Medicago truncatula: one gene and its partner. The protein of the gene in region 1 binds, or shares a complex with, the protein of each later gene. Links are inferred from orthologs where the notes say so. Each region holds a gene or a part of one and is shown in the gene's direction. Other genes may lie near its edges.

Region 1 (12,784 bases):
AGGCGGCTAGTGGAGGACCACAATTAATGCGGAATTCCCAACGTATACTTAAATCTAGTGCTGCTAGGTGCCCGTATAGCATCTTGAATGATACTAGTGATTTTTTTCTTTTGGAATTGATACTAGGACAATTTTGATATGGTGATATCTAAGGGTAATTTGACATACATCATATTGCATTTTCAACTGAAGTTATGTTAATCTTTTCGACTTCTAGGCCTGTTCTAAGGTATGTTATTACTAGTTCGTAATTTGTCACTTTCCCCGGTTGGTGAGAATTCTAAGATGATCAAAGACATTCAACAATTCAAGGTTTATGTTTGTTTGCTTGTGGCATTGACCTCCCTTGGGGCAAGATGAAAAGAAGTTTTGACAGCAAAAAAGGGCTTCTTTGCAGCCAATAATTTCCTAGCTGGCCTGAACAACATAAAATAAACTGAGTCTGAAACAAAACAAAGGGGTATTCCTCCCTTTGGCTTAGACGAGAATATACTTGACAGGAAAAAAAGACGTTCTACACTACTATATTGTCCAGATAGCCGACATAGCAGGAAAATAAACTGAAACAAAACTAAAATCAATATTCATGTCCTCTTTTTTTTTTTCTTTCTTTTTTGTCTCGTTGGATAAGATCTTCCAATTTTTGAAGGGGGAAACATATTTAGGACCGAGATTATCTGCAGTTGTGCAGCAGGTACACCTAAATATCGGTTGTGAAGTCAATGTAAAATTCACATTTGGTCGCACCGGTTGCATGGCAGCAAATGATCCGAGATGACATGTCATTGTTGGCCCACCAGGCTTATAAAACACTAACCGGCTTTTTCATCAAGGAGTTGGTTGTATATTGGCATAATTAGTTTATTAGTTCCTTTCATGATTGGTTAATCCTAGGCCAGATCTATTTGGTTTAATGTTGAAAAGCTCCGGACAAACATTGACTCTCAAGAAACTGTATGATGGTCTATTGGGAAAAACTCAAGTCCCACATTGGATCGATAGACTCTGGTACCATGTTGAAATTGGGCCTAACTCATCCTTACAAAACCGGCTTGTAAGGTGAGGAGGGCCTCCTCTTTATAAATTCTCATCAAGAGTCCTATCTATCCATTTTTTTTTTTGAATAGAAAATTGCAAAATATATTAATCACTAACCAAAAGAGAAAAGAGAATGTTTGAAAAGAAAACTGCTAATCTACATCTCCTGGTAGAGCTAATACATCGGAAGTCACCAACCTAAAATCCTAAAACCAAACATAACATAAAAAATATCAAAGAAGATATTAACAAAACTAGCGATATCTTCTTAATCGCTAATCCCTAACAACAGTTTAAAATTAAAAAAGGAAAACATGCAAGTTGAGTATAGTAGAGATGAGATCAACGAGCCGTCATCTTGTTGAACTCCTCAAAGTTAACGTTTCCACCACCGTCTACATCATCATTGCTTATCATTCTCTGGCAGTCACTAAGGGAGCACTTCTCTCGAAGTTTATTAAGAAAAATGTGCAGTTCTTTTGGAGAGATGAGACCGTCCTTGTCGAGGTCGTAAAGGTCAAAAGCATCACGAAGCTCGTCGTCTTTTCCGACAGCAGCAACAACAACATCATCCCATTGAAATTCAGTGAATTCTTTGAGATCAATGTAACTGTCGCCGTTCTGATCAATTTGTTCCATCATGCGTTTTACTTCATTAGATGTCGTTTTGGATCCAAGCGTTGAAAGCATTTCTTCCAGCTCTGAGACAGAGATCTTTCCGTCGTCGTTCTTGTCGAACTTGTTGAAGATGTTACGCACCTAGTCGTTCTTGGCGTAATTGCCGTTTTGGTTTCAAGAATATGAAAGCATTTCTTCCCCTCCTTCGCTTTCTAGTAAACACTACTACGTCGTGGAAGATAAGGTGTGTAACATCTTCAACATGTTGGACAAGAACGACGACAGAAAGATCTCTGTCTCAGAGCTGGAAGAAATGCTTTCAATGCATGGATCCAAAATGACATCTGGTGAAGTAAAACGCATGATGGAACAAATTGATCAGAACGGCGACGGTTACATTGATCTCAAAGAATTCACCGATTTCCACTACACTTATGCTGTTGCTGCCGGAAAAGACGATGAGCTACACGATGCTTTCGACCTTTACAACCTCGACAAGGACGGTCTCATCTCTCCAAATGAACTACACATCATTCTTAATAAACTTGGTGAGAAGTGCTCCCACAATGATTGTCAGAGAATGGTAAGCAACGTAAATGCTGACTGTGACAGAAACGTTAACTTTGAGGAATTCAAGAAGTCGATGGCTTGTTGATCTCATTCTTACTATACTCGACTCGTACGTTTTGGTTTTTTAATTTCAAATTGTTGGTAGGGTTTAGTGATTAATAAGATATAGCTAGTTTTGTTAATATTTTCTATGTTATGTTTGGTTTTAGGATTTTAGGTTAGTGACACTACCAGAAGTAGCAACACTACCAGAAGTAGATTAGTAGTTTTCTCTTCAAACATTCTTTGTTCTCTTCTGGTTCTTAGTTATTAATATATTTTGCAATTTTGTCTTAGAAAAAAAAAAGGATAGATAGGACTCTGGATAAGAGGAGGCACTCCTTACCTTATAGGCCGGTGGTTTTGTAAGGATGAGCTAGACCCTATTTCAACATGATATCAGAGCCTATCGATCAGGTCATGCACCAATGCTAGGTGTGAGGGGGTGTATTGGGAAAAACTCAAGTCTCATATTGGATAGATACGACTCTTGATAAGAGTTTATAAAGAGGACACACACCTTACAAGCTGGTTTTGTACGGATGGGTTAGGTCCAATTTCAACATGGTCCCTAAGTAATGAAGCATAAAGACTTAAAAGCTTTAGCTATGTCTTTTGTGCACACACACATATTGGTGCAAATTCTCTCTCCTGATTTGACTGAGGAGGGTATGCATGTATGAGGGAAACTTGCATGCTGATGAATGTTGATTTTATTGTAGTGATTCAGTTAGTAGTTAGATTCTTTCTGTGGAATTTGTTTCATGTGGATACATATTTAAGATGAAATGAGGATGAATCGTGTTTTCCAGAGCTTTCTTGTGACATTATTTAAAATAGGATTTACTTTTGTCTATAACAGGTACATGCTGATAACCCAGACGGACTCTTCAGGATACTGTCATCCTCTTTCCAAGGAAGCAGGACGTGACTTTACTAATTATGTAATTTCTATTTTGTTCTGGGTACAATTGCCATCACAGCTTGATATATAATCATAAATGTTAATTATTTTTTCCTTCCATTTTCTCGTTTTTTCTCCTGTTATGTTATAGCTTCTGTATATACTATTATTTTTTTGCTCTCTTCTTGTGCATCATATTTTGAGAGTACTCTATCAATTTAATCTCTCAAACACAAGTCAAGTAGTTGGTGCATCATGTCCTTGGTTTTTTTGAGCAGCGCATTCTTTCCAAGTACACACAAGCCCAGCCTTTAGGAATTGTTCAGTATGCATTCATAGTGTTGATTATTTGAACATAATGAATCTAACCTTTCGGAATTGTTTAGTATGCAGACATAAGTATTTTAAGTTTTAACATCATTAACCTAACCCAACATTTAGGAGTTGTTCTGTGTGCAGGCATCATGAACGAGTTGTATGTCGATCTTTCTAATAAGATTGAAATGGGTGAAATCTGTCCCTGCTTTTTAATTTCCTGAATGTATTGTCTTCTTTCTGCATATTGATATCTGTAAGAGTCTTCCATGCAATAATTTTTTGAAGAGAAATGTTGGCAATTTGTTCCCTTTTTGGGGCAAGTCTGTATTGTGGAATGGCGAGGATGGTATAACAAACCCCAGAAATTTAATTTTTTCCCCATTTGAAGTTGAATTTGAATGTTTCAAGAGTATCATATTCAATTCGTTCTAATTCTCCAATTTTGTTTCCCTTTATCTAATTTCTTGTACGGTTATATTCAATTCATTCAACATATGTTAAAGCAATTCCTTAATTGTACATGAAAAACGAAGACCAAATATATCTTGAGTTTTTAAAACACCCAGAATTTTGTACCAAAACTAAAATACTTAAGCAATCAAAGTTTATAAGAAAGAGAATATAAGAAGAGTAATAGTCTCGTGAGTAAATACGAGAAAGCTTAATTTGAGGGAAAGATGCTTCAAGTCAAAATCGAGACGATCTTATTCAAAAAGGACGCACAAATAAATTTACACCTATTTTTCTCTAATGACATTTTCAGAGTTTTAAGATCTGTATTTAGCACCGAACTAATTCGTCGTTTGTAGTGTCTGTATATATATTGGGATGTATCAAATGAGAGGAGTGGTTGGTTATTGTGAGAGTGAGAGGAGTAAATATAGACCTTTAGATCTAAATGAATAGTGCAGATTAAAAGATCCACTTAAAAGTTTCACGTGCCTTTTTTTTATGTTTCAACGCGTCTCCTTCTTCCTTTGCTTTCTCTCTCTCAAACGCTATTGTTCATTCTCGCTGATTCTCCCCTGTATTTCCTCACAACAAACTGGGATAATTGGATAATAAAAAGAACATTTGTCAATTAAGGACCACTTATTGTTTTCAATTCCAGATTAGATTTAAATTAACTTAGTAATAAGAAAGCCTGATTTTTTAATTAGTCGAACCTACATATCTTATTATAGTTATTTTTATGCTAAGATGTGATCATAGTTAAAGACCTTTTTGAAGCCAATTTTAATTTTCTGGTTTTGCTAGGTTAACGTATTCAGCTTAATTCTTTTTTGTAAGACAAAGAAAACGAAAGAAAAAAATAAGATACATAGATGGGTTTGTTTATTTTTCTCTTTCTTAAACGGGTTTGTTTGATCTTAAAACAATTTTCATCTCCAAAATTTCCATTAATTATATCAACTTTCTTGTTCCATCGTCAATTGCTTTCAGGAAAACTGCTATGGAGGAATATGAAGCGTGTATTTCCTTCTTTCTTCCATGGGATTGGATGTACGTGCGTGGGAGAAGTAATTAACAGGTCACTTGATATTTTAAGTGGATCTTTTAATCTACACCATTCATTTAGATCTAAAGGTCTATATTTACTCCTTTCACCCTCTCACAATAATCACTTCTCTCATTTTAATACACCCATATATATATATATATATATATGAGTCAGGATTCGTTGACACCAAATCTCAACCGTCTATTTTATTTGATCAAAGGCTCGCATTTTTTAATATGGTGTGTATCCTTTCCCCCAATTACATAATATTATTTTATTAAATCGTTGAAAAATTGTACTTGAAAACACCGGTGATACTCTTCTCTTTAGACAAATTGTTACCATATACCACACCCATTAGTATGATTTCTTGTCTGCGTCTCTATTCTCTCTTATTTAATTCAATGTATGGATTGCAACCGGAGAGGAAGGTAATGAAAACGATAGCAATTAGAGAAGGGAGTCATCCTAAGGAAATTGCAAATTGCGAATCTTCATAAAATAGAAATCTCAACATATATGGATTATAAACCCTAATTTTAATTTGGGGCTTTTTTGGTTTAATTTTCAATCTGTATATGAACGTGGTATTAGAATTGCTGTCGTGAATCCAGAAACCAGCCTTTGGCATATAATTGGAAGCTTATGATATTTCCATTCAACTAAGAAGCATAACCATGATAAAATAATAATTAAATATGCAAGAGACTTGATTGCTGCAATCCGTGCGTACAGGAAAAATAGGTGCGATAATCGTGTACACAAGAGAAAGGATGAGCTAGTTTAGAAATTATTATGAGCCTTTGATTAAATAAAATAGACGGTTGAGATTTGGTGTCAATGGAGTTAACGGATCCTGACTCTTTCTCTATATATATATATATAGGGGATGTTTCAAATGAGAGTCTTATAATGAGAGGATGAAAGTATTAAATATTAGCTATTGGATTAAAATAAAGGGCTGAGATTAAATCACTTAGTATAGAACTTCACGTGATATCTCATAAATATGCACACACTTCAAATTCACTCGTCTTTCTCATAAGCACTATTCATCTTCCCATTTGTTTCACTTTCCACCTTCTGGGTTTTTTTGTTGTTGAAGAATTCCACCTTCCCATATTAAATCACCATTAAAATCAAACACCAAGGCATTTTTTTTATCAAATCTAATTTTTGTTTACTGGAAAAAAAAACTCTAATTTTTTATGAACAAAGAATTACACCATCAGAATCAAACCCACTAAAGAGAAATTGCGGTAATTGATTTTTTTACACCATTCATCTCTTAACCATAAATAAATTAAGTGTGAATCATAAAGTTGTTGCTGGGAATACTGCATCTGAAATGAAGATAGAAATGTGAAGGTTCGAAAGAATAGATTTTTTTAAATTTCGATGCACCATCTTCTATTGAATTTCTCAAAAATTTCCCCAAAGCTTAATTTTATGGATGTAGAACCTCCACTTTGAGTTATGACGTGATGAGGAAGGAGAACTAGGAGCACCGGAAATAAGAGAAGTGGAGAAAGATTCAGAAATATGAGACCATGGGTTCCCAAATGTCATATCAACCATTAAGATTGATCTAATGGTTATAATTTAGTCCTCTCACCTCTTACAATAAAAACCCTCTCATTTAATATGTCCTCATATATATATATTCATAATTAACAAACTTCACATTTGTTAAGAAATTAAGACAAAATGAATTAAACTTTACGACTTATTAAGAGTAAAGTAAGCACATTCAACAAAATCATTGGCTTAATTGAACATCATAATTTTAATCACTGTAATTGAAATCAAAGTTTATGCCTCAAAATCATTTTATAAATAACCATCAACGAATATGAGTTCATGTTTTTTTTTGGTTAAATAGTTTAATGGCTAAAGTTCATACATATTTTTTGTTTTTTTTTTACCAGCCAAGCACACATATATATTTTAAATGTGGAAAAGTTTAGTGTCAGAAGTTGAACCCGACTCCAACACCTATCCTATATATTATGTAATATCTCTACCAATTAAGCTAAATTTACATAAACTAACTTTATGATATTTATTACCATGCCATGCCATTTGATTTGTTTTTTTTGAAAGAATGCCATGCCATTTCATTTGTCTTCTAACATTAATAAAAGGATATGGATCAAACTATTAATTGAGATATGATTTGGTGGTCTCATCTTATCCAGATATAAAGGCATAAAAAAGGTAAAAAGAAACAATAATAGTAGTTGGGGGGTGTTTGATAGCAACTACAGTAGTAAGTTGGTGGGTGGAAATATGAAGTACTTGTTTTGTTTTGTTTGTGGTGAGTGAAACTTGAAAAGAAGTGGTGACGTGTCATATCCAAACTCCATTCTTTCTATTAATTTCTTCAAATCTCAATTCTTTCCGGTCACCGCACTTCTCTTCCCGTCAACACCGTCGCCACCGCCGGTAATCTCTCTGCAACCAATTTCTCATTTTTTTTTACCTTAATTTCTCAAAAATTTTACGTTAATTTCTCAAATTATTATCAGTGTCCAGTGTGTTGTGCTTTGTAGCTTCTGAGTTCCAGAAAAATAAAATATAATTTCGTTTTTCTTCATTTTCAGGGTAAAGGTTTATTTGAATTTGAGACAAGGTTTAATGTAATGTACTACAGAAGCAGAAGCAGCAATATTGCGGCTAGGATTTTCGATCGTCAAATTTGCACTCCTGCTCCTGGCACCAGTGTAATCACTTCTTAACTAGTATATGATTCTATTTAATTATTTATTTTTTCAATAGCTAAGGTGTGGAATAATTAATGAAAACAAATGATTAAGAATGTTTACAATGTTTATGAGAGTTTGTAAGCACTTCAGATCAACAATTAGACCCTGTTTTGACAAATAGCTTCAGATCAACTGTTTGGGCTACAGTGGCAAGGAGCTCCTTCCAAGGATGTACCCGGGGAATACCGGGTTCGATTCCCAGGGGGAACAACGCTTGGCCAGTGCGCATGCGCACGAGCCGAATTAGTCACCCACCTTTTGTGGGTTAGAAACCGGTGCAAAAGCCAAAAAAAAAAAAAAGATAGAATAAAGTATTTTTTTTTTAATAGAAACTGTAAGTTATTCTTATAAGTTATACTGGAGAATTTATGGAAATAAGCTGAAAACAACTTATGCACATGTCATAAGCTGTTTTGTAAGCTCTTCAAAACAGTCTCACATATGTTTATGCTAGTAAATAAGCTCAAATAAGTCACCTTAAATAGGCCCTTAGATTTTTTAGTTTTTTGTTTGGTGGTCAGGGGTTGTGATTGTAGAGTGTGAGTATCCAATAGAGAACATAGAGGTAGAAAAATAAGGGTAAGTGGAGTTATGTTATTTGCTTTACTGTATTTTTTAGATATGCAGACAGGTTTACACCTTCTGATCAATATTATAAGCAAACACCCACTTTTTAGGTTCATTGAATAACTTGTGTATCTGGTCAATATTACAGAGCACATACATCAGTTATTCAATGAACATAAAAAGTGATTTTTTTTTTGTTTATAATAGTAACCGGAGGGTGTATTAAATAGTGTCGGGCATAAATTGATGACTGTAATGTTGAAATTACAAAAGTATACTATATATGGTGTGCTAGTTTGGGAAATTTGCTTGTAAACAGTCGAATGAAAAAACTAACATATGATAAATTTATAAAATTGTTGTATTGTTCCTTTGTTGAAGGAACCTGAATTGAATATAATTTTTGCAGGTGTAATTTAATGCTTGCAGGTTCATCATGCTCGGCGATTCTATGAAAATTTGGTACCAAGTTACACAATATACGAGGTTGAGTGCCCAGACCATTCATTTCGTAAATTCACAGAGGATGGTCAATACCTTATAAGTTTCAGCAGAAATCATCAAGAGTTGATTGTTTATAGGCCTAGATGGCTTTCATTTTCATGCAATGATGAAGATTGTGATCAACATGATTTGCCGTCAAAAGCAAGAAGATTCGACAGTTTTTTCACCCAATTATATTGCGTACCACTTGCTTCTTGCAATGAACTCATATGTAAAGATTTCTTTCTTTACATGGAGAGTAATCAATTTGGACTATTTGCCACTTCTACGGCCCAAATTCATGATGCACCTGCTGTTGGCGGAGCTGTCCAGGGTGTTCCTTCAATAGAAAAGATAACTTTTCACCTTTTGAGGTGCTTTCTCATCTTCCTTTATATTTTGTATTTTTCTTTGAGATCTTCAAAATCGAAGGACAGATCATATTCTGATTATTCTCACTTATTATATTTAGAATGGAAGATGGAGAGATCCTGGATAAGAAAGTCTTCAGTAATGACTTTGTTAATTTGACCCATAATATGGGTGTCTTCTTGTATGATGATCTATTGGCAATTGTATCACTTCGGTATCAAACTATACACATTCTTCAAATTAGGGATTCTGGTAATCTTGTTGATGTTCGTGCTATTGGGGAATTCTGCCGTGAAGACGACGAACTTTTTCTCAATTCAAATGCTCAGGTTGGCAAGCTTTTGGCTTTAGCTTTATTCTACAAGCATCTTGTTCAGTATTCCATTAGATGAGTTGTTGGGCCTTTTCGACAAAAAAATCTACAATGTCATTAAAGGACTAAACTCATGAAAGACAATCATTTGCTGACAGGGCATGTCATTGTCTGACAAAAATAAACAGCACCAGGTACCAGAGAACAATGTAGAAAATCACATGCATCAAGGTCAACCTAATATGGGGAATTCTTTTTTAAGTGGTATAAAGCAGCGATTGCTTTCATTCATATTCCAGGGAATATGGAATGAAGAAACAGATGATACCTTGGTTAGTTTTATAAATCCACTTCTTATTGCACAATCTTCTTTTTCCATGTTTTATTTGGCTCTGTTTCTATGCTTAACATGTTTCAGGAAGTTTATCTTGGAAGGATATAGGCACATAGCGTATTCCCAAATACTATTAGTTTCTTTTTCTTTTCTTTTATCTCTGACACGGTGAAAGCTTCAGTTTCTTTCCTATTGTTCTTCACAGCAAATTGTTTTGAGATCTTCTCCTGTCTTATACTGTCACTGCTTATGGATAGGACATTGTTTGGTGTTGTACATTCATATTTCTTTCTCCACAAGCATAAATGTGTTTGAATGCGTGGACTTGTTGTCCAGCTTTGCAACTGTTGCACACACACATTTTTGCAATACTATAAAAGAAGGAATTATTAAAAAGAGTTCTCACTAGAGATGCTTCCAATTTAGGAATAATAATCAACGATTAAGCAGTTAATCATGTTCAAAGGGTGGTTGTTGAATTGAATGATCATTGCTTAACTGAATAAACCATGTGCATGCTTAGTTATTCTTAAACTAGAAATATTGTTAACAAGATTTCCTTTTCTATAATTTCCCTTATTTTTCTCCCCACATAGTCTATCATTATTGGGACATTGTTCTTTTTATCATATTATCAGGACATTCCTAAACATGAATAAGTGTATGGAAAAATAGACATTATAAAATCTGAAATGGCAGACCCTTAGAAGCATCTCGTTTTATACAGAATACAATATTGGTTTTTGGTATGAAGTGTATTAGCCAATATAGAGGCAAATGATCTGATCTAGACCTAATACTGTCATATAGACTTTATGCATCGATCGATCATTACACTTAACCCTGCCTAGTGAAAAATAGTTTGGTGGTTGTAACTGAGTGTTATTATTACACGTTGGTACGTTGTCAATTGTTTACCCTTGCCATTTCTCCTAATTACTGCTTTGCATTTTTTGCAGTCTTTAGTTTGTGTTTCTGAATTGTAGTTGTGTTTGATTTTTGGATGCCTGTAGTATTATATAGCTGTCTAACTTTTTACTTATAAGTTGTATCTTTTCAGTGTGTAAATTCATCGTTTTAATACTGTTTTTTCCCGATTTACCAGAGGATCCAAAGACTTCGGAACAAGTTTTACTTCCACTTTCAAGATTACGTTGATCTGATTATTTGGAAGGTAGGTCATCAAGACATTTTATGCATCTTAACTGGTTCGTTATAACCGCTTTATCATCAAACAAGACCATCTCACTATTGATTTGATATATATATACAATGAGAAATTTAACCAGCATCATCTATTCAATTCCTGGGCAGGTGCAATTCTTGGACCGACACCACTTGCTAATTAAGTTTGGCAGCGTAGATGGAGGGGTAAGTTCTCTTTGTACGTGTTTTTATTTGTTTATTTGTTCTAATGATAACATTTACAGACCCTAAGCACATTAAATGAAAATTACGTACAAGAACCTGAGAGAGGGTCCAAGGCCAAATATTAAATAGGAACATTATAATATTTGATTCTTTGCTTATAACTGAAGTTTCTAGTGGTTTCCTTGTAGTAGACCTCTAGCCTCTCTGTAGGAGGTTCTTTTCTAAATAGCTATCCCTATCCTAACTTACCCAAAACAATTAATGCCAAGTTTTAACTCTTCTTAAATCTTGAGCTGTTATCTTCTTACAAGTCCTCTCAGAACACAGTTTCATGAACTGGTTATTGAGATTCAATTATCCGAATGTGGCAACAACGGTTGAACTTTTGATGACTAGGTCAAGATATCTCATACCATGTTAGGGACAGCTCTTAAAGGCTTACAACTGTTAAGTGGAGGTTCTAGAATGATTTTTTTTCCTAATGATTTGATTTAGCTAGTAACAAGTGGACAGAGCTCAACCTCTTAACTTGCATGGAATCAATATGTGCTCTATTGAGGTAGTAGTATGACAGACGTATTGACATTCATGTTTTGAAGCCTCAGGTATCAAGAAATGCTGATCACCATCCAGCTTTTGTTGCTGTATATAACATGGCTACAACTGAAATTGTATCTTTTTATCAGGTAAATTTGTTTTTCATCCTATGTTTTCATTTTCATGGGTTTTCTGTATTGCAGTGTCTTTATGTTTTTTCCCCTCCTGATCCGTCTTTACATTCTGCAGAATTCAGCAGACGAGCTTTATATGTTGTTTGAGCAGTTTGGTGACCACTTTCATGTAACATCAAGGAATTCAATGTATATGAATTTCGTATCATCTCATTCAAATAATATTCATGCACTAGAACAGCTACGGAGCATAAAGGATAAGGCAAGCAATTCTTCACAGGTGAAGTATTGTTGGTAGTTGTAACATTGTAATTGCATCCTCCCTCCTTCCTTTCCATGATATAAGAAAAATTAAAAGGCTATGTACATTGTATGCTAATGTGTTGTGTACAATTTTGTTTGTTGTTTTGCAGTTTGTGAAGAAGATGCTCGCCTCTTTGCCTTTTAGCTGTCAGTCACAGAGTCCTTCTCCTTACTTTGACCAGTCTCTTTTCCGGTTTGATGATAAGGTTTGCTCCACGTGCTAGTTTAGTTGTCTAGTTTCTTTGCAAAGATCAGAGTTTTTTTTTTCTTTCTAAAACATAAAAATCATTTGGCGCAAAGTTAGGCATAAACTGCTTAAAATGGAGTCATAGCTATTAGATTAGATCAGTCTTATTAAATTGTTGGTGGGACTGGGGATGAGGAAGCCAATTGGACATCCTTTAGAGACAGGCCATTGTGCTTATTGCTTGAGTTATCATGACAGACTTTGGTGTTGTGGTTTTTAGATGGCTGGAAAGAAAATCAAACTGAGTTTCTTTTGGCGGAGGTGGTGGCAACCTTTGTATCAATGATACTGAAAACTGGAATATTGGATTGATATGGTAATGGAAGCCAAGGTTCGGGAGGTTGGTTACTGGTAGAAATTTCAGTTTTAA
Region 2 (12,561 bases), on another chromosome or scaffold:
GGGGGAAGGGAATGGAGTGGTGGAGCCAAAAATGACGTTGGTGAAGAAACAATTGAAGCATATAAGAGGGGATAGAGAAGAGTAAGAGAGTTAATTTGATTACAGTAAAAAAAAATGACCGGCTATAATAAGTCACTTTGTGAGGTTCACCAATGGTCCCTTTAAATTGAGGTCCATATTAGGGTCTCCCGTATTTTAGACTTTAAAAATTATCTACTTGCTGTCTGCACCATCCGATTTTGATCCAACAATCACTAATGTGCTGCCTATCTGAATGCGTGACCTCAACAAATCCAAATCCCGTGTTATTTCTTTAGATAGTCACATATATGTAACTGCGTCCGTTTTAGATTGAACATGCCATCGGCTAACTATCCAAAAAGCTTACGCTGTTGGGTGAAAACACTGCCTCATGGAGCACTGTTTGGGCTTGAAGTGTAGGCAATGCTCAAGCCCACCCAATCTTGTACTAAAATTTAACATTTTTACTGATAATGGGGGCAATGATAATTGAACTCTAGAATATATGATTATAGCGACACTGATGCCATCTCATGGACCACTTCGTTGAATTATAATGACCCTATTTCAAGTATAGGTGCTGTTTTGTTTACTAGTATTAGCTTTACTCGTTTAGGATATTCAAATACATGGAAGGTACTTCCCTCATTTTTCCATTCATTATATTATATAATAAACATTTATAGCTGAATCTAGTTTCATGGATTGATAATTTTGAACCGGAGTTATAATATCAGTGTGTCACTCTTCAATGATCTATTAACTTGTCTGGAAGAAATTGCCCAGATCCTAGCTGGTTGCGTCAGTATTAGTATTAATGTTGTTTGGATGCGTCTCATGCTTTCTTGCTGATTCTATAGGTCTATCTCCCCGTAAATCTGTATTAGAGTATGTTTGGATGGAGGATTTTGAAAGGAAGGGGACGGCAGGACTTATTTTCTTTTCTAAGTCAAGGAAGCTGTAAAATGCTTCTAAAAATAAATTAAGCTGTAAAATGCTTCTAAAATAAACGCTTCTTTTCTTTTCTCACTGTACGGCTCAGTATTCAGTCCAGTTTCACGAGGCATTTTTTTAGATTTGGGAATGTTGTAGTATTTTTGCGATCCTGATGCGCATGGCCTAGGCATGAAACTTATTGAAACTTCACATAACTATGCTATTAGAAATTTCTTCTTATGGCATCCTGGAACTGATTGCATTATTCTGAAACTATTGGTGGGGGGTGAATTCTGTCTTATTAAAATTTCATGACTTTATTAAGTTAAAACTGTGTCTATTTCTCTTTTCAAAGACATTGAATAATTTGCAAATATTTTTGAAGAGAGACATGAAATTTATCATGACAAGATAACTGGGTTCTACAGTTGACGACTTTGATAAATGGTCTATGGTGGATTAGCTCATAAAATACCATTGAAGGCTAATGTTTCCCTTTGTAAGTAGAAGCTCACGGTCATTCTTATTCTAATGACTAATGAGTGAGATTGTGACCTGATGAGTGCTGGTTCGACAAACACAAGGGTAAACAAATGAGTTGAATTTTGATACACTCACGTTTATTTTCCCTTATTTTTTTTCAAACTAGTACTTATCAGGTCACCATCTTACTCATTATGATGTGGAAGACCTTGTGCTTTTACATGAGTCGTCTTTGGAGTTTCAAGTGATTTTCAAGTATTTACCCACTGTGGACCACCTTTGTTGACATGACAAGATATACTCTAAAAATTTGTCATAAAAAGATTCACTCCAATGGTAGCCGACTTTTTCAACAATGTATCTTATAAATTTGTGCGAACAAGTAAATGATATTTTAAGTCTCTATGTTCCATTCAAAGTTTATAATCACTTTTTTTTTAGGACAAGTTTATAATTACTTAAATGTTTCCTTGCGAGCATTTAACCATTTAATACTGCGTAATTTGTTTCAGGTTATGGATCCTGTAGATTCCCGGGAAGGTATACATCTTATCTCAATCTATACACATCCATGATTAATTAAATTTAGAACTAATTGTTTCTCTTTAAAATTCTTATCTGATCATGGGTTATTTTGATATCAGCTCTGGCGCTGGAGGAGTGAGTTTACCTCCCACGGCACTTGGACCTTCTTCAAGTCCCTTTGGAGCAAGTATGAACCTGCAAGTGTCTACCCTTCAGTATATGATTTCTGCTATTGGTGTATTTTTTGCTCTGATGATTCTTTGACCAAAAGGTTTATGCACTTCAGATTGCAATTCAATTATAATGTAGTTTTCATCGATTTTGATTCTTACTTTCTTTTGTCCATTTTATTCTTCATAGCTATGTCACATCTTGTGCATTTGAGGTCTTGTAATTTATCTCTTTTATGATAGATAGTTGCTTAATTTAGTGGTTTAGCTCTAGGAGAAAAACTGAACTGAATCTAGAAGAAATTATTGCCACTGTTATCTCTTTTACTTCATTTTGAGTTGTCTGGGGAAAAAAATCTCTATCCATCGGGTTCTAAAGGCTATATGTGGATTGATTGAAAGATGAAATTGAACAGGTGAAACTATACCAACTTTTTCATTTATGTTGTTTAAAATAAAATAGAACAAAATGAATCATAAAAATGTATTTTCATCACCTTCCAATTAATATTTTTTTATTTCTCTCTTTGTACTATAAAAATATCTAAATTATAGAATGACAATTTTCATTTCATTTTACTTCATTGTGACGTTACATAAGGTTGGTTGATTTGATGTATATTAATTAAAGAAGAGTGCGCAAGACCAACCAACTTTTAATGGCTTACCATTAGAAAGTGCAGTGAATGGTTTGCAACTTGTGAAAGCGATGATGAACCAACATTTTTTTTAGAGTAGTTTCATTTTCTTGCCTGTTTTGGGTGAATGAATGGTTCGCCTCTTCTAAGATCTGTTTAATTTTTTTATTTATTTGAATAACTAGGGTTTGTTTAATTGTCAATTATAAATATCAACCACCATGATATATGATAAATAAGTTTAAATGAGTTAAGATGTTCAACTCTTTGGAAGAGTTTTCTAGGAAGGATGCCCATATAGCTGTTCATACTTTTATAGCAAGGGTTACTGCATTTTTTTTGCATGTTACTACTATAATGTGTGAATAAAAAGGATAGAACTTCTTGACCAAAAAAAAAAGAGGATAGAACTTTATCTAAAATAACGAACTTCAATTTAGAGGATAAAGTAAATATTATCAATTTTTCTAATAAAAAGAAAAGTCAAGAAACAATTTTTAACTTTTTAAGAAATGAAATGTACAATTTTCAATATAAAGTTAAAGTTTCTAGTTTCTACCTTTATTGTGCCTTAGAGGTGTTTGCGAGTGTTGAGTTTTATAAAAAAAGGGTAAGATTAAGTCTATACTTTGATATTTTAAAAAAATTAAAAGAACTACATAAATATGTATTTTTTGGTTAAAAGAACTACATAAATATATAATATCACCTTGTTTTGGTTGGATAGGTGGATGAGTGATGTCCCACTTTGTGAGACATTTCATAGCTTATACGATTTATCTGAAAATAAATTATCTACTGTGGCATAAATGTTTCATTGGGGGTGGGATGTGGGTGGGGGAAGCTTGGAAGTGGCGGAGGAAGTTTTGGGTGTAGGAGGAGGAGCTGTTAGAAGAGTGTAGACTTTTATTGTTAACAGCTATGCTGCAGGTTGATTCTGCTGATGCTTGGAGGTGGACCCCTGACATAGCCAATGGTTACACGGCTAGTGGTGCTTACCGCTTGCTCACAGATACGACGCATATCAATTACCAGATACTGCTGAGGCTTTTATGGAGGAAGGATGTGCCTTTGAAGGTTTCAGTGTTCACTTGGCGTTTGTTTCGCAATCGATTGCCTTCAAAATCGAATCTATTCCGTAGAGGCTCGATATTGTGTTAGTGGTTGCGGTCTTCATGAATTCGAATGCCATTTAATCGCATCTTGTGCTTTTTTCGGATATCTTTGGCAGCTTGTTAGGAACTGCTTTGTGTTCACTCAGCGGATCCATCCCATATTTTGGATCACTTCATTCTTCGACTTCTCTACAGGGTACGGTAAATCTAGACGCTCTTTCATGCATTTGATTTGGTTTGCTACAACTTGGGTAATTTGGAAGGAATGCTAGAATTTTCCGAGGCACTCAGGGTTCTCATATGCAACTTGTGGAGAGTGTCAAACAACTTTCCTTTATTTCATTGTTGTTGAAAGTTGGTTTGTATCTTGTGAGTGTCTTTTGTGATACACCTTGTGCTTGTACCTGAAAGATGACTCTCTGTTCAATATATCATTTTGATTTCTTTTGTTCATTTAATTTCTTTTTAAAATAATTTTAGATTGATATACAAGTTAATTATTTTATTACAAACCAAAAAAAAGTTAATTATTTTATTTAAAATAAAATTAAAGTAATCTTTGTACCAAAAAAAAACAATCTTGAAAGTTTTATAGTTGTTGACAACAGCTAAATAGGAAGGGTGAAATAGTTAGCGATTGTGATCAGGAAGATGGAGGGAGGAGGATCGTCAAATGGAAGGAAAGGGTATGCGTGGGCAGTATCTGCTGGATTGAACGCCGCTCTTGCAGCCATCTTCGCTAAGTTCACCTTTCACATCTTGATTAAGTACGGGTTCGTGGTATTCTTCAATGTAACCATGTGGTGTTGTTATGTCAACAGTCTCAAAGCTCTCTCTTCTCTTCAAGCTACTGTCACCAATTTCGCTACCAATTTTATCTCTTCTGGTTTAGCCGGTTTCTTCTTCTTTCATGAACATCTCTCTTTCCAGGTAGTTACTATTTTTTTTATTTTTTTTTTCCTTTCAATTTCAATCTTTACATATTAATTACCCTATTTGTAACTAAAAATTGAAATGGTACCAATTTCATGATTATGACCCTTAATTCTGTTTTTATATCACACTCAGTTTATTTATCCATTACGTTACATGTAACGTGTGTTCCAACTGCTTAATGTGGGATCGAGATAAACCAAGTATCATGATTTGCTATTACGGGTACATATGAGAGAGAGGATCCAATTTATAGTTTTGCTGTACTAAAAATCAGAAAAACTATTGGTTGGTTCTAAGGGAAAAATAAAATTAGGGCTCAAACAAAGTCTAAAGAATCTGTGGTTGGTTATTTGCCTTTTATGTTTTCAGTTTATTCATTCACACATTTTTTGATGCAAAAAAATGTTTCACAGTGGTTTGCAGGTGCCTCACTCATAATAGTTGGTGTAATAATACTTAGCAACTCAAGTATTGAGAAGAAGGTTAGCGCTGATTAGAAGTTGCACTTGAGTATGTTACCTTTCATGCTTGCTTGTTACCGGCCAAAGCTAGCATCCGCAACTGCGTGAACATGAACTTGTAACATCAGGAATGATATAGTTTGATCTTCTGCTGAGCAGTTCACCACTTCACCTCACATGAAACCTGCTGAACTAGTCGCTTCTTGCCTTTTGCCAAATTAACAACTCTCTTATTGTTTTATCCATTCATTTATGTGGTTCTGTGGTTTAATGTAGTTGGTTTGAGATGAATGCCAATATTTATTTACGTGGTTCTCTTATTTATTGTCTCTTTACTGTTATGATTTTATGACATTGGTCTGTTCATGTGTTCTCTTTGGTTATTTTCTCTGATTTGAATTGGACAGCTTTGGCGCATTTTTTTAGTACAACTACAAACAGCTTTGGTACATTTAGAGTAGCTTTGTTATGGGAAATTTTTCATCAAAAGTGTTTCTATTTGGCTGGAATTTGACTTATGGATTTGGAATGTAAAATACCAAGAATCAAAATGGATGCAGTAGATGTTAATCTGGTGGTTAAATCCGTTGTATTGCGGAGACTGCGTATGCCGGAGGAATTGGAGGATCCTGAAGGGGTTCTTCCCCTTGATCCTTTGTTATGGCAACAAGTTCCTTCAATCTTTGGCACTTAGTGCTGCGGAATTGGTTGTGACATAAAGGTGACGAGGTCATGGGATTTCCTTATTTCTTCTTCATTGTGGGAGCAAAGTACAAGAATGCAGAAGTAGTGGTGAGGGAACTGGGGAGGCCCATGTGGAGAGTTGAGTCTTGGTACTTATGGTTGCAACCCTGATGATCTAGGGAGGCAGAAGCGGAAAGACTTGAGTTTTATCAAAGGGTTTGTAAGATTTATTAGATAACCTTAGTTCCAAACTGTTTGATATGTAAGGAGGAAATTTCTATTGCAAAAATCTGAGATTATAAGTTGTCAAATCTGTTGGTTATATAAAATTTGGGGAGGTAAAGCCATCACAATGGAAACGCCAATATTCAAGGTCTTTTAACGAAAAAGTTCATGGGATTAATAATTTACACTGCTAGTGCATAAGTATGTGAGATTAATTTTTATGTACTAAAAGTGTGCTCCCTCCGTCCCAAATTATAAGAAAAAAAATCACAAAAAACTAAAACATAAGAATTTAGAGTATAGTTTTGTGTTTTCTTTGAAAAAAGTTTTACAGGAAGATGTAAAAACAATTTTCATTGACTATTGGTTATGGAAAAAATAAAAGAGAGAGAAAATTTAATGTAATTTTATGAGAATAAACAAAAGTTTTTCTTGGAAAAGAGATTTTTTAGAAAAACAAGATTAAATAGGATAAAAGTTTGTCTTTTTTACTTATATTTTGGGACAAAGAAAATGAGTTTTTTTTCCTTATATTTATAAATTAGTTTTTAAAGTATTCTAGAATAAAAACTACGAATTATAGCTTCAAGTACAATCAATTCTGGTGGTAGAATCAATTCTACTCGACAACAATCAAACATGTCAGAATTAAATCTACACATTCAGAATCAATTTTAATCCCTATGGAAGTAGAACAAAACATATTATTTTGAAATGTATTATTAACCTTATATCCTTCACCCTAAAACAATAAAAAAATTACGAGTCATTTAATAAAAAAACATGCCTCAAACTATAAGTTATTTTATAATATCAATAAAACATTAATGATTTTTTTTCTCTCTCTATAATACTTACTATTTACTATTGAAGACTCTGTCTTCTTTCAATTTTTAAATTTCTCTTTTAAATACTATTAATAAATAATAATTTTGTAATATTACTCGTAATTTCTCTTTCTTAAAAAAAATTAAATACATTTAAAATTGTCAAAACCGTTATGAATTTATCCCAAATATTACTACTTCCGGTGTATTCTTGTTGAAAGTGTTGATGGTGAAAAATGTCTTAGTAACAACAACTTGAATGAGTTTGATATTGATTCTTAATGAGAGAAAAACATTGATTACTGAAGAAGAATAGATGAGCTAAACGAAAATTGAATTGGGAAATAGGGTTTAGGAGGTGAAGTGATGATACCAGGTGGAGGAGGAAGAAGTTCAACATCATCATGGGCACCGACAACCTCAGTGTCTGCTTCTGGAAAGAGAATTCAAAGAGAAATGGTTGAACTCAACAACGACCCTCCTCCTCATTGTTCTGCTGGTCCCAAGGGTGATAATCTCTATCACTGGATCGCCACCATTATTGGCACCCCAGGTTCACCATCTTCACCATTCAGCTTAGGTTGTTTGGGTTCAGATTGAATTTATCATCAATTTGATTTTTTGTTTGTAGGAACACCTTACCAAGGTGGCATATTCTTCCTTGACATAATATTTCCTACTGACTATCCCTTCAAGCCTCCCCAGGTACTAATTGGTTCTTTTTCTAGAATTGCTGTTTGCTTTGGCATGTGGTGGAAGAATGTTAGCATGAAATGAAACTTTATTTTTATATAGATTTAATCTTTATACGTTGTCGGTATAAAATTATTTTACTTGTGCATCTAATAATGTGATTGAAAATATGAGTTGTCGTATTCATTAATTAACGCAACAACACATTATTGGATGCATGTGTAAAGTAACTTTACACTGTCAGTGTATAAAAATTAAAATCTTTTTATATAATGAATGCGTTAAGTTCCTTGAAGTTAATGCTTGTTACTGATTGACATAAAAGTTGTAATTCTATATACATTTAGTTTGGTAAGGCGATGGGCTTGTCTTAGGCTTATATTGTGCACCACATTGAGTAAAGCTAGAGAATGAATTGATACTTAAGCCATAGGATTCTCCCACCCAATAGGCTTGTCCTTTGGGATGGACTCTTCTCTAGAGCTCAAGTCATACAAACACTTGATAGTTTTATTGAGAGCTTGCCGTGTAGGATAGGTAAGCAAAATAGGAACTAACAGGAAAATGGCTACCTATACCAAAAGAGTCAAGAATGAATGTAATCATGGGTGGTTAGCCAGAATGCTCTCTCAACTCATGGTTAGTCTTTTGGGATGGTTTTACTCGTGGGCTCAAGTCATAATTCTTAAAGGCAAGACCAGAGTAACATCCTTCTCGGGGAAGCCAGATTAATGAAGTGAACTATTCTACAGGTATGTATCACCCCTTCTATGGATGGGGATACCAAGCATAATTCTTGGAAAATGCATAAAATTGTTTTTGTAATCCTTCTCTTTTTCATAAAGGGATCCGTGTTGTTAATCCTAGTGGTGGGGAGCAGTCGACCCCTAAACCGCTAAAGTGGGATAGTAGATAGAGGGAAAGCCTCTATTGTGAAGACTAGAAAGTAGTTTAGGAAGGCTTCACTTTGGGAAGTTTATGGTTGACATGATACCAGGGTTGAGTAGAAACACAGTAGAATTAAATGAGGAGCAGAGAACAGAGGAGAACACGGTAGTCGTCACCACTACCATAAAACCTAGTAGCCATTTCTGGAAGAAAACAAAGAAGGTAAGGGAGCAAGTGTGTCTTCGGATCTTCACAAAACGGAGGTAGGAGAAAGTGAGTTTCACTTTCGCATGGTGCAGAACGGCCGAAGCTGCTGACCAAGAATACTCAGGGAAAATGACCAAAAAGCCGAATAAATCTAGTGATCAGGGGGTGAAAGGGGCATTTAGCATCAAAGGTGGCTGTTGTGGCAGTCAAACACAATTTTCAGTCGAAATAGCTACCCTTGTATAATGCCAATGTGACATACCAGCTGTAAGTGTCGCAGCTGCGCTGCTACAATTCCATTATCACGTGTGATCACCTGCTATTGACAACATAGATAGGGATAGTGTCGTAGCTGATATTACAAGATATTTAGTCACTGGGTGGTCTGTTATTGTGTTTAACAAGTTTGAACTATTGAATCTTACATCCTCTTATTTGAGTCCATTCTCCCACTTTCGAAGCAATAAACAATATATCATTTTGTATGCATTTAACTAATATTGAGTGAAAAAAAAGGTTATTCACTGGCTTGAATGCACATATTTTTTTGCTTCTGATTTGATATAGGGAAAGTTCACTGGCTAACTGTTTTGTTCAAGTTCATGTCATTTGAAGGAGCTAACTGGGTCATTGGGAACTTTAAGTTGTATTTCAAGTAGAATTTAATAAATTGGTTACTTGTATTTGATAGAGCTGGAAATGAGAGTTTAGGTGTTGATGACGTGTCTAGTCATCCACACCGTGTACCCAAAATATGGAGAGTGTATGTTAGGAAAAATAGAAAGAAAGAAGAGAATGATGAGCTGGCAGAAAAGGGGTGTGATGCGTGACTCACTTCTGTTGTATTGGGATTGGGGTAGTGGAGGAAGGGGTCAGAAAAAGAATTCTGTTAGGAGCAGAGATTTGTGATATTCTCTGAGTCGGTGAGCATAGCTCTCAGTTGTATCAGGAAGTTTGCTTCCTTTGCTATTTTTCCTTTCTATGATTAATGAAACCCTCTCCATTTTATCTTTTCAATACTATTTGATGCTGTTACTGTGATTGATAGTGTTAGTACCTATCAGTATTTGTATAAAATGCTTGTTTTTTTTTTCCTTCTGAGAAAATTGCTGTTACCTTCCCATTATGTAAATGTTCAAGTACAGTCCCTTTATTTTCAAAGCCTATAAACTTCCTGTAACATGTCTTCTCTCAACTTTTCATAAACTTCTCTGTTCGAAGAGTTTGGTATAGGTTTAAAAAATAAAAAGGCAATATGCAGACAACAAATAATTTATGTGGAGGTAAAAGTAATTTAATTGTTGTGTATTGCCTTGTTAAATTGAACTAGCAGGTAGTCTTCAGAACTCGCATTTACCACTGCAATGTAGAACCTGATGGCCGTGTTAGTATGGGAATATTGAAGGATGGTTGGAGTCCGGCACTAACAATTACTAAGGTGCTACTTGCTGTTAGATCACTTTTGACAAATCCTGACCCTTGTAAGTTTGTCTATTCTCTTCTTGAATGCTACTACCTTTGTCCTTATATCTAATATCCTTTTAGTTAATGCATGAAAATTAAGAAAAATATTTCTATATTAAATTTGTCAACAATGTACAATCTCTTTTCCGAATTATCAATCAATATTAAGAGAGATAAATGATTAGTCTTTTAGTTTCCCCATTTAATTAAGGGTATGTATTTTTGTGAAAGATCACTAATGTATCTTGTAATTTGAAAATGATCCTATAAAAGGGAAAAGAAAAATTTACAAAGGAGTCTTACATATAGGGATGAAGGTTTACATGGTACTTGTATACTTAGAGCCTTTTGCTTCTGAATGCAAGAAAAGAGGAAACTATTGTATTATTACCTCCATGTCTTGAAAAAGCAGCATGATTTAATAGGACACTCCGCTAATGATTATGTCTTTTAACACCGGATTCAACTAATTTTCAGTATTAGTAATACCAATATTTACATTTTGTTTGTATAGAAAGTAATAACAACACTTAAAATCAGCCGATACTCCAAGTAGCTTCTTAAAAAAAATGATCTTAGAATGTAAAGTTGTTATTGTTGTTGCAGACAATGCTGTTGTTCCTGTCATTGCTCACTTATATTTGGGAGACAGAGCAAAACATGATGATATTGCTGCAGAATGGACTATCCGATTCGCCAAGTGAATAATATGATATAAGAGTCGTTTGTTTGCCTAGCAATTTCACATTCTTTCCAATATGTACTTTATTGTCAGATGAATTTCACTCTGTTGAAAAGGGTTTGTTGTATAGTTGGTCTTCTGCATCGTGTATATCATGTTCCAATATTTATGTGAATGAAAATGATGGTTCATGTTCATGCACTTGTAACAAGCTTATCTCCTGCCTACAAGCTGTGTTATAATTCAAAGGCTTAAGTGTACTTTTGACCCTTTAACTTTCTCAATGTTGCAATTTTGGCCCCCTAATAAAAAAAATGACAAATTTAGTGTCCTATGTTTTAGCCCTGGACCGTCAATATATTCCTAGGGGCTCGAATGCCCTCTAGAAAGGCTTTGGTACCCTACAATTGGCTCCTAGAAGCTAGTTGAGGCGGCGCCTCTGGGAGGGAATCGAATTCGTAATGATCCAAGGAAAGGAAATCGAAACCTGTTTCGGTAATCGATTTCCCTTCACCAATTCCAAAAAAGAAAAGTTCTCATATGAGTGCACCATTAAAATAAATTATGATATGTGTTTAAACTTATAAAATATTATTGGATCCACCATAAACTATATTATATGTCCTTAAGCTATTTACACAAAAATCTACCGTTTAAATTAATACAAATTTTCCTATTTTTGAACACAATTTTAATATAAAATAAAACTAAAATAATCATATCACTACATTTCAAAATATTAACAATCATTGAACTGAATATGATTATAATTATCACAATTTTGATTTTCACATTTGTAAAATTAAATTTTGAGTTGACCAACTTGAAGGACAGAGCAACCAACCACGTAGTAGCTAGCCACCATGCTTTGTTATCTATCACATCACCCATTCACCAACCACCTCATCATCTACACCTGCAACTACCACCGTATTCATGTTTGCTTAGAATTTTGAAGTTGAAAAAATTGAAAGAAAGAAATGGGAAAAAAGAGTGTAATGGAGTTGGGTATTGATGATTTTGTAAAGGTTGGTTTATCAGCTGCCGAAGCCAATGAATTGAAGGAAGTGTTGCTGTCACTGCCATTGTCCTCACTCTCCTCAGCTGACACATGGCGCCACCTCGTCAGCCGCAAAGTCCTCAAACCATCATACCCTCATCCCTTGCATCAGCTTCTCTACTATACCATCTATAATGATCATCATCACTCCTCTTCTTCTCCTCCTCTTTATTGGTTTCCTTCTCTGTAAGTCACTCTAATTGTTATTATTCATATGTGCTTTTTCCTTCTTCTAGTATTATGAAGTATTCATACTGATAATATTAGTCACACCCTATGAAGCACGGATACGGACATGGACATCAACACGACACAGATGCCCAACACAGCTAATAATTTGAAAAAATCACATAATTTTGTATAAATGTATGTGTCAGTGTCGTGTCGGTGTCCATGTCTAAAAGAGGGCTTAGACATGTCCGCATCAAAAGTTGTTGAGTCCGGTTGAGTTTCAGATGAAAGGGATGTTGACATAGGTGTTGAAACTGGCTTAGCATCTGCCATATTGGTACTTTTAAGTAAGAAGCAGCTGCCAAATAAAGTGAC

The links.
Region 2: light-mediated development protein DET1 (region 1) and constitutive photomorphogenesis protein 10 share a complex: the UniProt entries of both Arabidopsis thaliana proteins name them as parts of the CDD complex. The link is inferred for Medicago truncatula from reciprocal best matches to the Arabidopsis thaliana genes DET1 and FUS9.

What each region holds. Positions count from the first base shown.
Region 1 is NC_053046.1:1,904,840-1,917,623, forward strand, and holds the start of light-mediated development protein DET1, read left to right. Parts: upstream 1-7,202; 5' UTR 7,203-7,433; intron 7,434-7,591; 5' UTR 7,592-7,630; coding exon 7,631-7,711; intron 7,712-8,749; coding exon 8,750-9,177; intron 9,178-9,275; coding exon 9,276-9,504; intron 9,505-9,646; coding exon 9,647-9,820; intron 9,821-10,927; coding exon 10,928-10,996; intron 10,997-11,136; coding exon 11,137-11,193; intron 11,194-11,792; coding exon 11,793-11,879; intron 11,880-11,979; coding exon 11,980-12,144; intron 12,145-12,277; coding exon 12,278-12,373; intron 12,374-12,634; exon of another isoform or gene 12,635-12,730; intron 12,731-12,784. Other genes in the region: abhydrolase domain-containing protein C22H12.03, read left to right, coding at 3,128-3,196. UniProt on the Arabidopsis thaliana protein: Component of light signal transduction machinery. Involved in repression of photomorphogenesis in darkness by participating in the CDD complex, a complex probably required to regulate the activity of ubiquitin conjugating enzymes (E2s).
Region 2 is NC_053049.1:39,597,471-39,610,031, reverse strand, and holds constitutive photomorphogenesis protein 10, read left to right. Parts: upstream 1-7,197; 5' UTR 7,198-7,387; coding exon 7,388-7,574; intron 7,575-7,652; coding exon 7,653-7,726; intron 7,727-10,142; coding exon 10,143-10,290; intron 10,291-10,879; coding exon 10,880-10,977; 3' UTR 10,978-11,230; downstream 11,231-12,561. Other genes in the region: glucan endo-1,3-beta-glucosidase 4, read left to right, coding at 1,953-1,980, 2,085-2,229; uncharacterized protein, read left to right, coding at 4,540-4,818, 5,238-5,321; probable acyl-activating enzyme 18, peroxisomal, read left to right, coding at 11,936-12,201. UniProt on the Arabidopsis thaliana protein: Component of light signal transduction machinery. Involved in repression of photomorphogenesis in darkness by participating in the CDD complex, a complex probably required to regulate the activity of ubiquitin conjugating enzymes (E2s).